Linked DNA regions of Elephas maximus indicus. The protein of the gene in region 2 interacts with the protein of the main gene of each other region in a pairwise test. Links are inferred from orthologs where the notes say so. Each region holds a gene or a part of one and is shown on either strand. Other genes may lie near its edges.

Region 1 (6,889 bases), on a different chromosome or scaffold from region 2:
CAAATTGCTTGTGCCACCCAAGGACCACCCTGTTGTTGCTGTTAGGTGGTGCCAAGTTGGTGCTGACTCATAGCGACCCTATGTACAACAGAACGAAACACTGCCTGGTCCTTTGCCATCTACACAATCGTTATGCTTAAGCCCATAAGGACTACCCTACTTAACAATTAATTTAAAAAAATAAAATAAAATTGCTGTGGAGTTAATTCCAGCTCATGACAACCCCATGCTAGTCCTCGTTTTGAATGTCGGGGACTGTGTTTTACATTAAACATCCATGTTCCCATTGGAGACCGAACACCAGGTGGGTTACCAACCTACCAAAAAACCAAAACCCACTGCCATCAAGTCAACCCCAACTCATAGTGACCCTATAGGACAGAACAGAACTGCCACATTTCCAAGGCTGTAATCTTTACAGAAGCAGACTGCCACATCTTTCTCCCTGGTGGGTTCAAACTACCAACCTTTTGATTAGCAGCCGAGCTCTTAACCACTACACTACCAGGACTCCTTACCAGCCCACCAGGTGGTTCTTTCCATTGCTCCATTTTTCAGATGAGGAAGCTAAGGCTCACAGGGGTGAGGCCGCTCGCTCCTAACTGGGATTCCCAGGAGCCTGGGCTCAGAACTCACTTTCCTGTCCAGGGCTCTGGTCTGCTTCTGCAACTCCTCCACCTCGGCCTGCACCTGGGCCCGGCATTTGAGTAGGTGGCCCATGCGCTCCAGCCGCTGGCTGTCCCGTAGCCGCTTGACTTGGCTCTGGGCGACGCTGATCTGCACCTGGAGGTTGGCCCGCAGCTCCTCTAGGCGCCGGATCTCCCCCCTGCCCGGGGCGGCAAGGAGGCGGAGCTCAGCATCGCTCAGACCGCGAGTCCAGCTCTTGACTCCCTTAACTCCCCCCAGTCCGGGGACCCAGGCGCCCCAGGCGCCGGGCTCACAGTTGCTTGTCGATGCGCTGGTGGACTTCCTTGCTGTAGGCCCGCCTTTCGCCTTCCATCACCTTGCATTGTCTCTGCAGGCGGCTCAGCTCCCAGTCCACTGGGGGCGGGGCCGGGAAAGGGACTCGATCCGAATCTGGGCCCCCATTCTGGTCTAAACCCATTCCACCCACTGCCCACTAAAAAAAAAAAGGGTCCCACAAATTGCCGCTGCAGACCCAGCCCCCCAGTTTTGGACTGCATCTCAGTTCCTGTGTCCCTCCAGCTCCCCCCACCTCTTCAGACTCTCTGTTCTCCGAGCTGACCTCGGGTTAAAAAAAAAACACACTGCCGTCGAGTCAATTCCGACTCATAGCGACCCTATAGGACACAGTACAACTGCCCCATAGGGTTTCCAAGTTATTTCCGTTAAACCCGCTTCAACCCCAGGTTTGGGAACTCGACTGCTGCCCACTAGAGGGCGCTCCTGGAAGGCCTCTCTGGCCCCAAGGCCCCCACGGCTACCACCAGACCCCCGGGCACCGTCCTCGCTCCCTCCCTCCCCTGCAGCCTCCACAGCCTAGGCCCCCTCCTCCTGTCTCCTCACTCTTTCTGCCCAGTGCCTGCATCTTCTGCCTGGACCATCACACAGCCTCCTCCCCACCCTCCCCGGCCTGCCCTAACAGCCCCAGAGCAGGGCCTGTTCCCCTCTACTCACAGTTCTCTCTTGGCTCCCCAGCGCCCCAGCAAAGTCCCAGCTCCCGCGTGTTCAAGGCCCCACCTGACTTGACTACCCACGTCTGCAACCCCAAGGCACTTTGCGCTAGCCCAGTAGTTCTCAACCAGGGCCAATTCTGCCCCCTACCCCCACTAACATTTTTTATTGTCACGACTGAGGGCGGAGGAGTAGGTGTTACCGAGATCTAGTGTGTAGAGACCAGGGATGCTACTAAACATCCTTCAAAGAACAGGACTAAAACAAAAAAATTAAACCCGTTGCGGTCCAGTCAATTCTGACTCATAGCGACCCTACAAGACAGAGAAAACTGCCCCACAGGGTTTCCAAGGCTGTAATCTTTAGGGAAGCAGACTGCCCCATCTTTCTCCCTTGGAAGGCTGATGGGTTGGAACCGCCGACCTTTCAGTTAGCAGCTGAGCTCATAACCACTGTACCACCAGGGCTCCTAAGCACAGGACAGCCCCCCACAATGAAGAAGCGTCGAATCCCAAGGCTGAGAACCCCCGCTCTAGGCACATGCTGTTCTCTCTGCTGAAACACGCTCCCCTTCCTTCTCCCCCTGGTAATTCCTACGAGGAGTTCTGGGCTCCACTCAAATTCCTCCTGCCAGAAGACTTTGAGGCCGACCTCACTTCGCAGGTTGGCCCCTCTCCATTAGAAGCAGATCGACTTCCCACTAGAGGGCGCACCTGTCCCCAGGGCATGGAACTCGGGAACTCTCAGGGCGGGAAGAGAATGAGCGAATGAAGAAAAAACGCATGAATTACCCATGCCCTCCAGGAAGGCCTCGCTTTCCTCGGAGCGAGTGCTCACAGCTGAGTGTCCCAAGGGCATCTTGGCCACAGAGGGTGGGGCTCCTGCAGGGGCCGACACAGCACCCATTCAGACAGCGGGTAGGCTGGGCCGAAAGAGGGTGAGCGAGGGACTGAGTGGGGAGGGGGTGACTCCAGAACCAGCTCCGGCCGCTCCACCCCTCCCGGACGCCCCGCCATGCACATGTCTTTAGTCCCAGCTCGGAGCCTGGCGCTGGGGACAGGAGGCTCTTAGTGTCTCCGAGCCGTGGGGTACCTGACCTACCTGCCGCAGTGCCTCCGAGCGCACTGTTGTGGTCTGGTTACTGGGGAGATGAGGGGCCAATGAGACCTGGGAACAGCGGCCAGGGAGGGACCGAGGCAGAGGGGGAGAGGCTGAGGGCGGGGGGGGCGGAAGAAGCTCCAAGGGGAAGGCCTGCGGGGGCTCTAAGGGGCTTGGAACAGGTAGGTGGGGAAGCTCTGGGAGGGGCAGGGCTGGGAAGAAGGTGAGGAGAGGGCTAGGTGGGCGATGAGGGGAGCGGCTTGGGGGGCCTTTAAGGGGCGGGGCTGGGCGGACGATTAGGGGCGGGGCTGGGAGGGCCTTGAGGGGTGAGGCTGGGAGGGCCGGTGGCGGGCGGAGCTTGGAGGGCCTATGAGGGGAGGGGCCGGAAGGGCACTGAGGATAAGCTGGGAGGGCCTTGAGGGGCGGGGCTGGAAGGGTCCTTGAGGGGCGGGGCCAGGAGGGCCTTGAGGGGCGGGGCTTATCTGGAAGGGCTCAGGCTAGAAGGGCCTGGAGGAGGTCGGGATGGTCTGTCTGGGAAGCACGGGACTGTGAGGGGTGGGCCGAGTGTTTCCGGGAGGGAGAGGCAGGGTTGGGAGGAAAACGTCCGGAAGGCGCTGGAAGGGCTTTGGAGCTAGGCCGAGTTCCTTCAGAACAGGGTCCGAGAGGTGCCTGTCTTAGGCTGATTAAGGCCACGTTATTTTGAGGATTCATTAGCAGAGAGGTGGTGCCGATGCCCGGAGTTGTGAAGGGTAGGGCGCTCACCACCGCCTCAGATCCTCGCAGCCGCTCACTACGCATGCGCGGCTAACGGCTTCAAGCGAACCCGCAAAACACCCTGGGCCGCTTAAGGGGACCTCGCACGTAGTCGCTGGAGTGGGCGTGGCCTCGGGCGCTCCGCCCTGCCTCCGCTTTCCGGCCACGCCCCCTGTCTGGTGACACACAGCTACGCCGCCGGCCGCTGCCCACGTGGGCCTCCCGGGGCGGGCAGGCTGTGGGCGCCGCTCCCTGCAGGCTGGGTGTGCCCGACGCCTGCGGTTTCCTGTGGGAGGAAGCGGCCCATAGGCGCTCAGCTCCGCTCGGAGGCCCAGGAGGGGGAGATTCCGCCACAGCCCTCGGGCCTCACGATTCTTCCTGTTCCACCGACGCCTGACATGGGGGACCCCTCATTACCTCCCGGGAACCGAAGTCTCGTGCTGATTCCACTCAGGGAACTTGATTCGGGGCTCCAGCCTACTATTCTCCACCTTCCCGCTCAAGTTATCACCCTAGTCCCTGGTCCCCCCACTGTTCCCAGAATCCAGGTCCAGCCCCCCTCCCCTGCACTCCATGAGGGGCACATGACCCTCTAGCCTCTAATTTTTCCCTCAGTAACACAGACCTTCTTACCTCCTTGAGGATCAAAGTTCAAACCTCCAGTCTCTGTTCTTATAAGGAACTTAAGTTTGGGACCACTCATCCCCCACCTCCAAGCTCTCCTCATTTTGGACTCCCAGTTTTAGCCTTCCCTCACGGACCAAGAATTGCTTTTTCCCCAAATCCTGGGGCCCTTTACCTAGGGTCTCCCAGTACCGAATCCACTCAGTACTCTAGATGCCTGGTCATAACTAACAGAATGTATACTGTGTGCCAGGTACTATTCTAAGAGCCACCCCATGATCTTTATCCCTATTTCACAGAGGAAGAAACTGAGACATAGAGCGGTTATCAGCAACTTGCCCCAAATCACACAGTTGATAACTAAAACAGCTTGGATTTGAATTCTGCCAGTCTGGATATACTGGTATCCCAGATTCTTAGTCTTGCAGAAACTCACCCAGTCACTGAACTATCCATCCTCCACCCCCAGTCCCCAGGAAGCCCAAATGACCAACAACTCTCTCTTCAGTCCCAGCTCCAGGCCCCATCAGACACTCAGACATCCAATCGTGCAGTTCCCTTGGAGGGATCCAGGATTCAAGTTCCCACACACAATTCCACATCAGGATCCCAGATCCCTGGTCCCTTGTCCCTCACTTTTCACATTAGACATGTCCCCGCCACCCAATCCTTGCAAAAGACTTAGATACCTAGTCATCACCCCATCCTAAATCAATAACCAAAGAATAAATTCGATTAACATTAAGTCCCTGGTACTACACGGATCATGTAACCCTTCTGTTTAAAACCCTCCAACGGTGCCCCACTGCACTGAGGGAAAAATCCAAACTCCACCCACTGCCTTCAAGGGCCCCCTTTGATTTTCCTTCCCACCACTCCCTCTAGCTCCCGATGCTCCAGCCACACAGGTCTTCTGTCCTCCCAACAACTCCAGCTTGTTCTCTCAAGAGCCTTTGCGCTAGCTGTTTCCTCTTCCCTCCAGCATTCAAATAACTCTTGTTTTCAGGTCTCAGATCAAACGTCACCTCCTCAAAGAGGCCTCCCTGATCACCCTATATAAGCAGCCTCCCATCATAATCTCCATCACACGTATTATATTTCCTGCAACAAACTTATCATGATCAGAAATCTATCCTGTCCATTGGTATGTTTTCACTTTATAATATGTCTCCCGCTCCTAGAAGGTAAACTCCATAGTAACATTATAATCTGCTTTGTTCATTACAAACTCTTGGTTCACAGTAGATGTACAATAAATGAGGAAGGAAGGAATGGGTAGGTGTGATAACATACGGTTATTACCTTACTCAATACTCATTACAGTGTCAGAATGATCGTTACAGTATTATTATCATTAGCAGTGTTGCCTTTATTATAACCACTTCACAGATTAGGAACCAATAATTGGTCCGAGGTCAACCAGCCAGGAAATAATGGAGCTGAGATTCATAACTTCCAACTCTTGTCACCTTCCAGAGTCTCACATATTCCATTTTCCATCCCTGTAGCCCCTGCCAATGGTCCCTGGGTGGCAAAGTGTACTAACCTGGAGGTTGGTGGTTTGAACCCACCCAGCAGCAGCACAGAGGAAGAAAGGCATGGTGATCTACTTCCACAAAGATTAAAAAATCATTACCATTGAGTCAATTCTGGCTCGTAGTGACCCTATGACAGAGTACTGTCCCATAGGGTTTCCAAGGCTGTAAATCCTTACAGAAGCCAACTGCCACATCTTTCTTCCATGGAGCTGCTGGTGGATTCAAACCGACAACTTTTCAGTTAGTAGTTGAATGCTTAACCTCTGTGCCACCAGGGCTCCTTCCTTACACAAGAAAACCCTATGCAGCAGTTCTACTCTGTAACACAGGGGGTCACCATGAGTTGTAATCGACCCAACCGAAATGGGTTTGGTTTTTTTTGACCCCTCTCCCCTATCATGGTACCAGCTCCACCAGCCCCCAGTTCATTCCAGTCCTCCGGAATGCAGCCTCCTTCCCTGAACCCCCTCCATTCTGAGTGTCCAGCCCCAAGCCCCACCAAGCAACAGACATCCAGTCCCAGGCCAAGACATGGAGGCCTGAGAATCAGCCCCTGAAGCCAGCCCCACCCCAAAGCTTCCCTGGGAGAATTTCTCATCTCCACACTGGGAGGCAGCCCCAGAGATACCCATCTGGGGGGCAGCGGGTGGGGGCCAGGAGAAGGAGGAACCTAAGAATCTGGGCCCTCCCCCTGGCTGCAGACCTCAGCTGGGTGCGGCTAGGGTGGGTATAAAAGGGTCAGTATATATTGAGAGGAGCAGAGAAAGAGAAATCAGGACAGTGAGAGAAGAGAAAGAAGGAGGCCTGGGCAGTGAGGAGGGACAGGAGAAAGAGAGACAAGAGGCAAAAGGAGAAAGAGAGCGAGCAAAAGTTCCAAGACTGAAGGGGAGAAAGAGAGGGTGAGCCAGAGGGGAGAGTGAGTAGGGAGGGAGGGAGGCAGGCTGCGAGGGAGGCGGGGGCCTCCAGAGGGTGGAAGGAGGGAGGTGAAGGGCGGGGCACCGAGGCCCTAGCGAGGGAGCAGACTCCGACTCTGACTTTTTCCGCGGCTCTCGGTAAGTTTCCAGTCCGTTATTCTGGCTGAAGTTTCTTTCATGACTTGGGGAGTGCGGCAGTTGGGGATAGACATCCCCAGGCCGGGTCCCATGGAAATCCTTGGAATTTCAGAAGTGATCTCTTAGCACTTGGGGCGTGGATGAGGGAAAGCGAAGGGGAGGGGCCCGGCAGGCTTTCAGAGTCCCAGA
Region 2 (7,680 bases):
GTGTCAGGAGCCCTCTAAGACCACCTGGTTATGGGAGCCCGAGTTACAATGTTCACAGCTATAAAGTAATAATCTTCAAGGTATGTGCACACAGTGTCTTGCTTTAGCCTCCCCACAACACAGTGATGATAACATTATTATTATCATGTTTATTTAACCCATAAAGGCTAAAATTACTTGCCTAAGTTCCCAGAGCCTTGTAGGAAGTTGGGCTGATGATATGGGATCAGGAAAAGAGAAAAAACCACGTAGCAATAATGTTGTTTGTACTCCAGGACTAGATGTGTATGCTTTGTTGTGGTGTGGAATTTTTGGGAGGCTTCCTCAGTTATCTCCTTACTGCCCACAGGATGAGTGAAGCCCAAGCTGCTTGGAATGGTAGTCAAGACTTTTCACAACCGGGCCGACTTTAGCCTCCAGCCTAGCTTCCCACCTCCATTTTCCCCCAAGCTCCAGGCACACTGGCCACTCAACATTCCCTGAACACACTCTAATATGCAGTCTCCTCTGCCTTCTCCCACTGTCTCTTGCTGAGCTTCTACTCTTCAAATATCACCTCCAAGAAGCCTTTCCTTGCCTTCCTTTGTGTTCGTTACATTTGTCTTCTACCTCTGTTGCAGGACCCATCACATTGTGTAGCCCACTTTTTTCTGTGTCCATTTCCCTTTCTAAACTGGGAGCTCTCCGTGGCCATGACCAGGTTCAATACCTGGCACAATGTAAGTACTCTGTAACTGTGTGCTGAATGTGAACAAGTGGATGGAAAGGGGAAAGCTCTCTGAGGCTGAATCACCTTGATCCTTCCCATCCCATTCTTCCTGAAAGTATTGGCATTGAGAAAGTATCCACTTTATGCCTGTCTTACTGCCTGGAATAGAAATTCCTGTCATCTTCCCTTGTTTCCTTGCCTGACACCCCTGGCCCCTGGGGCTGGATCTGGCTACTCACTGCTAGCCTTCTTGATTCTAGTATCTGTCTGCTTGCCAAGACACCTACCCACCACCCACTGCTGGATTTTCAGGATGAGCTGGCTTGCTGGCACTGGCCACCACTGGTGATTTCTGTGTCCCTGCCAGTTAAGTCCCTGGCATGTATGTGGGTAGGTGGACAGGGCTACAGACACCCCTTCACTTGGGGTGATTGATTCCCTGGCATCATGACTGGGAAAGCCTATTGTGAATGAATGACAGACATCTGTAAATCTGCTTTTCTGTGGCTGTGCAGACATGGATGTCCCTACCTTCCCAGGGCTTTTTGTTCTCCTGGCTCCTACTTCTCTGAAAATCATGGCATAGCGAGGACCCCTGTCTGAGCACTTAACACATGAATTATGAAGTGCTAGAGCATTCCACACAATGTTGCCCTTGACTAAGAAGAGAGACCACAGTCTGATGCCCTTGAAGTTCATTTGTCTCAACACATATATGGTTATTTAGAAGCATCTTGCTTTATAACAAGGGAATGACCAATTGATGATTCAGCTTGGTGACAGCCAGGAAAAAATACCCGGTGAGTTTGGGGTGCTACTTGGCAAAGTACAATACAGGCTTTAACTCAACAATCAAATATACGATAGCTCTTCTCTCATAGCTACCATACATACCAAGAAGTGTAAGTGGGGGTGGCATGCTATGCCCACTAATGCACCTACTGACTCAAAGAGTTTGCTTCCTGTCTCTGAGATTCTAGGTTCTCCTTATAGCGAGGTTTAGCATCTAGGGGGAATGTTTCCACCAGGGAACACAGAAATGATACCACTGCCTTTCAGGTACCTCATAATATTAGATAAATAGAAGAGAAGGGGATCACAGTGTAGGCTGGGCAGATTATGGCTGTCAAGGGGGAATGGAGTCGCTACTACTAAATGAGGGCCGAGAGGTGCAGGAGTGGAACTCACGGGACCCCTGGGTTTCCACCTTGTGCTATTGCATTAACCAGGATTCTTTTGGTTGCCAGTGATGGAAATCCCACTCAGGTTAGCCTTGGCAAAAGAAGGGATTTATTGGAAGGTATACAAAACTACTTGGTAGGCCTCAGGAAACCAGGCCTAGAATGTCACCAAGACTTTTTTCTTTTATCTCTGCTTCTGTGTCAGAATCATTTTCTCCTACTACAGATTGACTTCTTCCACTCCGCAGGGAATATGATTGCTGCAGCCTTAGGCTCACATCTTCCCTGTTTTAATTTCATTTCAAAACGTCCCAGAGAAAGACTCAGACTGGCTCACCTGCACTGAGGTTCCTATCCCTGGACTCTTAGCTCATCACTAACCCATTTAACTCGTGTGGTTGGAGCAGGGAGAGCCAGAAGAAAAGGTAGGAGGCAGCTGTTCTGGGCAGGCCCAACAATTCAATGATCACTATCCCTCTGTGGTAAGGGAAGACCAGAACAACCGTAGACCACAAAAGGCTCAGGGCCCTCAGGAGTTAGAATCTGGGTCACCTCATAAAGAAGAAAACCCTGGCTAAAGGCAAGGAGAACTTGGAGTGAATAATGGAAAGGGAAGACTAGTTAAGCTTCAGAGTCCCTGGGTGGTGAAAACGGTTAATGCACTTTGCTGCTACACAAAAGGTTAGAGGTTTGAGCCCACCCAGAGGCACCTCAGAAGAAAGGCCTGGTGATGTACTTCCAAAAAATCAGCCATTGAAAACCCTATGGAGCATAGTTCTACATGGCGTCACTACGAGAACTGGACCCTATGGCAACTGATTTAGTTAGACCTCAGGACCTGATGTAGAAAAGGGGCTGTGCTCTCCATCTGTACTTTCTTAGCTGGGAGAGTATCCAAAGATTGAGTTACCTCTGCCTTTTCCTTGTCCCTCTTAAAATAGGATTTGTCATAATTTTTTCCTCTTCCATTCCCTCTGGAAGAATGAATAAGAATTAATCATAACCTGTTGCCATCACGTCGATTCCAACTTATAGTGACCCTATAGGACAGAGTAGAACTGCCTCATAGGGTTTCTAAAGCTATAAATATTTATGGTAGCACCACCAGGGCTCCTCCCGTAAGTACTACAGCCTAGGAAACTGTATGGGGCAGTTCTACCTTGTCCTATAGGGTCGCTATAAGTTGCAATTGATGACTTGATGGCACAACAACTTCCTTAACACCAGCCAATGCTTTTTGGTTTTATCATTGTTGTTGTTAGTTGTCATCCACTGGGCTCCAACTCATGGTGACCTATGAGACATTGCCTTATCCTGTGCCATCTTCATGATCGTTGGTATGTTTGAGTCCATTGTTGTGGCTGTTGCGTCAATCCATCTCACCGAGGGTTTCTCTCATTTTCACTGAACAAATATGATATCCTTTTCTAGCAACTACCCTTTGGTTGGAAACAGGGTCCCCATACCCTTTTTGAACAAACAAATCTCTCTTAGAGGAAGTGCAACCAGAATGCTCTTTGGAAGCAGGGATGGCGAGACTGCGTCTCACATACTTTGGACATGTTTTCAGGAGGGATCAGTCCTCAGAGAAGGACATCATGCTTGGTAAAGTAGAGGGTCAGTGAAAAACAGGAAGGCCATCAAGATGGATTGACACAGTGGCTGCAACAATGGGCTCAGGCACAGTAACAATTGTGAGGATGGCGCAGGACCCGGCAATGTTTCATTCTGTTGTGCATAGGGTTGCTATGAGTCAGAACCAACTGGACAGCACCTAACAACAACAGTAACAAATACCCTATACATTTTCGCCAAGGAGGAAGGGAGTGAGGGGAATCAGGCTTCATGAAGATGAGACTTGGAGAAGAATCCACTGGGGTTCGGAAACCTGTACTGGATACCCTATTCTACCTCTTCACCTGGGCAAAAGTACAGGAGCCCAAGAGTAAAAAAAAAAAAAAAATTTTTTTTTTTTTTGGAGGTAATTCCCCTACTTCGGAGGGGAAGCCATCTATCTGGGCTTGGTTGCAGGGCCTTAGTCCCAAGTTCTGCCCCAGAGTGGATTTTTTTTCTTCTCTTAAATCTTTCTTTAATGATTTTAATAATCACAGGATACATAATTTCAAATTGTGACAACTGCTATGAAGAAAAGGAATACAGTGACCAGAGAGGATATAAAAAGGGGAACTAACTGATCTAGGGGGTCAGAGAAGGATTCCCTGAGAAGAGCTCTAAAATGTGAGCAGATCAAAGAAGAAAGAGAATTTAAGGCAGAAGGAACAGTGTGCAAAAGCCGAGGGGCAGAAAGAAGCCAGGGGCCCCACTGTAGAGATGGAGGGCAAAAAATGAAGCTGTCCAGGCAGACAGAGCGCAGGACGCACAGAGAGCCCTGCGGCAGCCGCCCTAAGGTTTCCCCTGCAATGGGAAGCCATTGAACAGTTTTAGGCAGGAGTAGCAGTAACATGATCAGATTTTCATTTTGAAAATATCACTGTCTGCAGTGAGGTGAAGCAATCGGAGGGGCCCAGTGCCGTTAGACGATAAAATTGGACGTGGAAATCCTCAGTAAAACCAGCCCAAGGCGGGGGAAGGCGGTTCCGGCGGCCCCAGCGCGCAGCTCCACGGAAAACCGAACCGGCTCACGTGGGCCACCGCCCCGCCCCGCCCCGCCGCGCTGACGCCGCAGACACTGTAGCGAGGGCCTGGGGCTGGGCGTGCCGCCACGGACCCCGCAGCCCACGTCCCGGCCAGCGTGGACGCCCAGGCCGAGGGATCCCCAGCCCAAGTCGCCGACTTCCCGCCGGGGGTCCGGAGCGGAGCCGGAACCAGCCGCGCAGGGCCGCGCCTCTGGGCCGTGAGTCGGGGCCCGGGGAGAGAGGTGGGCTCAGCCTCGGGGAGAGGGGGCGTCGCAGCCTCGGCCCAGCTGCCTCCTTTGGGGAGATTAGGGAAGGAGGGTCGCTATCCTGTCTCCTGGGAGTAGCCTCCCTCTAACGCAAGGCTCGGCAGGAAGGGAGTCCTCCTCCAGGGTAGATTGCGAATTAGCTTGGGGAGAGGCTTGATCCTGGGGTGTCTGAGCTACTAATTTTGCCATCTCTGAGAACCCGTGATTATCCCCACCCCATCTTCCTTCAGGGCCCATCCCAGGCCTAAACCAAAAAACCAAACCCGTTGCGGTCCAGTTGATTCCGACTCAAAGGACAGACTCCTATAGGACAGAGTAGAACTGCCCCATAGGGTTTCCAAGCAGCGGCTGGTGGGTTTGAACGGCTGACCTTTTGGTTAGCAGCCTGAGCTCTTAACCACTGTGCCACCAGGGCCCCACCCAGGCCTAGGAAAAGTTTGAAGGAGGGAAGATCTCCATGCACCTTTCATAAGCTTTGCCTAGAGGGATTGGGGGTGGGGTAGGGAGTGCAGGTGACAAAGGAACTATCCCTACACCGTTCCTTCCAGGACTTCTGTCTCAGCTGGATGTGGGGAGGGTTCCTGCCACCTTTAGAGATCCTCCTAGTGCCTGTGCCACATACAGTATCCCTCACTCCTACTGATCCTCAGTTTTTCTAATCCCAGTAATGTGTGGTCAACAGGAACCTCTTTTCAATTCAAACCCTAATTTTGGTAGAAACCAGTTATTGGAGAGGAAAGAGTGGTGTGCCCTGCTTGCCCTCCTGGGCCTTGGGATGGAGCAAGCCAGGCGTCGGGACTCATGATAATAGACATATTCCAGGGGCACTGGGAGGGAAGGGGGCTCTCAGAGGAGAGCTTGTCAAGGAGTGGGCTCCCTGGGGCAGAGGAGGGAAATGGACACAGCTCATCCCGCACTTAGCAGTCAGTGTTAACCTCCTGTTACCTGCACCTGGGAATCCCGCTGCAGCTCCCTCTCCCCAGCTCACTCACTCAGGGAGTACATACTGACACCTGCTAAATGCCAGGCTCTGCACTGAGGCCTGGACGTGTAACCAGCTGCCAGTTGCCATCTAATTGATTCTAACTATGGCAACCCCATGTGTGTCAGAGTAGAACTGTGCTCCACAGCATTTTCAATGGCTGTTTTTTTTTTTTTTTTTTGGAAGTAGAGCACCAGACCTCTCTTCCAAGGTGCCTCTGGGTGGACTTCAACCTCCAACCTTTCTTTCAAGTAACAGCTAAGTGCATTGACTGTTTGCACCAGCTGGTGATACAATGCAGAGTCTATCGAGGAGCTCCCACTGTAGTCCAGGAGCAAGATTTACAAGGTATTATTGTTTGGAAACCCTGGTGGCATAGTGGTTAAGTGCTACGGCTGCTAACCAAAGGGTCGGCAGTTCGAATCCGCCAGGTGCTCCTTGGAAACTCTATGAGGCAGTTCTACTCTGTTCTATAGGGTTGCTATGAGTCAGAATCGACTCCACGGCACTGGGTATTGTTGAGCAATAGTTAAGAGCTCAGCTGCTAAACAAAAGGCTGGCAGTTCAAATCCACCAGCTGCTCCTTGGAAATCCTACAAGGCAGTTCTACTCTGACCTATAGGGTCACTATGAAGTGGAATCGACTTGATGGCAATGGGTTATTTACAACATAGGTAAAAAAAAAAAAAAGTTGAATAGAGATTTACTGACCATCAGCCATGTGCCAGTGACAGGAAACAAACATGGATAAGACAGTGTATACCCAGGGCAATGGGGACCCAGAGGAAGGCATAGTTAAATGTGTGCATGTTTTTGTGTATTGGGAGGAGTAGGGGAGAATTATCAAGGAGGCTTCAGACAGGTGGGGATATTAGAGCTGAGCTTTGAAGTGGAAAAGGAGGGGCTTAGAGGGAAGGAAAGAGGAAGGGTATCAGAAGCCAAGGAGAGTAATGGTGTGTTTTGAGATTTCTGAACAGTTTAATGGGATGTGAGGGGCAGAGTGGCAAGAGGCAAGTGTGGAAGGGTGAGTAGGGGCTGGATCAAGCAGACTTGTGTAGGCCATATAGCAGTTTAGCAGGAGTTTAGTGACAGCACGTAGAGCTGTAAAAAATCAAATTTACATTTTTAACTACAGGCAGAGAGACCAGTAAAAGGGCCGTGGCAGTAAGAAGTTGTGGGTAAGAGGTAACCTGGATCAAGTGAAAGTGAGAGCAGATACATGTACATAAACACACACAAAGTTTTAAGAGGAACAATCTACAGAATTTGGTGGCCGATTAGAAGGGGGTAGGAAGAAGAGTGAGATGTCTAGGATGTTCCCAGTATTCTGGCTGGGGTTATTGAATGGCTAGTGGAGCCGTTTGCTGAGGCCACTGAAGAGGGAGAGCTGGTTTGGACACACAGAATTTGAGGAGCCTGGGGGATGTCTAGGTTGCAGGATCGGATGGCAGTTGGATCTGAGGTGGAGACAGATTTGGGAGTCACCAACGTATGGATGGTTCTTGAAGCTACAGTAGAGGATGAGGTCATCAGGGGAGACTGCATAAAAATGAGAATAGAAGGACACCTGTCTCAGAGGGCTGAGGACACCAGTGTTTAAGGGATGGGTAGAGGAAAGTCTATGCAGGAGACTGAGAACAGTCAGAGAGGGTGGGGGAAAACCACAAAGGGAAACGGACTGAGAAGGAGCAGCCAGGCTCATGCTTACTACCTCACCCCAGCAGCTAGGTTGGTGTGACTTCAGGCACCCCACTCTGTCTTTCCGTGACTCATTCTTCTGCTTCCCCCTTACAGACCAGATGTTTGCCATCCAGCCAGGGCTAGCTGAGGGGGGCCAGTTCCTGGGGGACCCACCTCCTGGGATATGTCAGCCCGAACTCCAACCAGACAGCAACTCCAACTTCAT

Evidence for each region.
Region 1: the proteins of C3H1orf216 (region 2) and ODAD1 interact in binary tests that used the Homo sapiens proteins (3 or more experiments, as listed by UniProt). The two-hybrid records come from large-scale screens. The link is inferred for Elephas maximus indicus from reciprocal best matches to the Homo sapiens genes C1orf216 and ODAD1.

Annotation. Positions count from the first base shown.
Region 1 is NC_064829.1:98,657,814-98,664,702, forward strand, and holds the start of ODAD1 (outer dynein arm-docking complex subunit 1), read right to left. Parts: upstream 3,008-6,889; 5' UTR 2,542-3,007; coding exon 2,427-2,541; intron 1,042-2,426; coding exon 942-1,041; intron 827-941; coding exon 637-826; intron 1-636. UniProt on the Homo sapiens protein: Component of the outer dynein arm-docking complex (ODA-DC) that mediates outer dynein arms (ODA) binding onto the doublet microtubule. Involved in mediating assembly of both ODAs and their axonemal docking complex onto ciliary microtubules.
Region 2 is NC_064821.1:77,046,239-77,053,918, reverse strand, and holds the start of C3H1orf216 (UPF0500 protein C1orf216 homolog), read left to right. Parts: upstream 1-4,660; 5' UTR 4,661-4,744; exon of another isoform or gene 4,745-4,768; intron 4,769-7,568; 5' UTR 7,569-7,573; coding exon 7,574-7,680.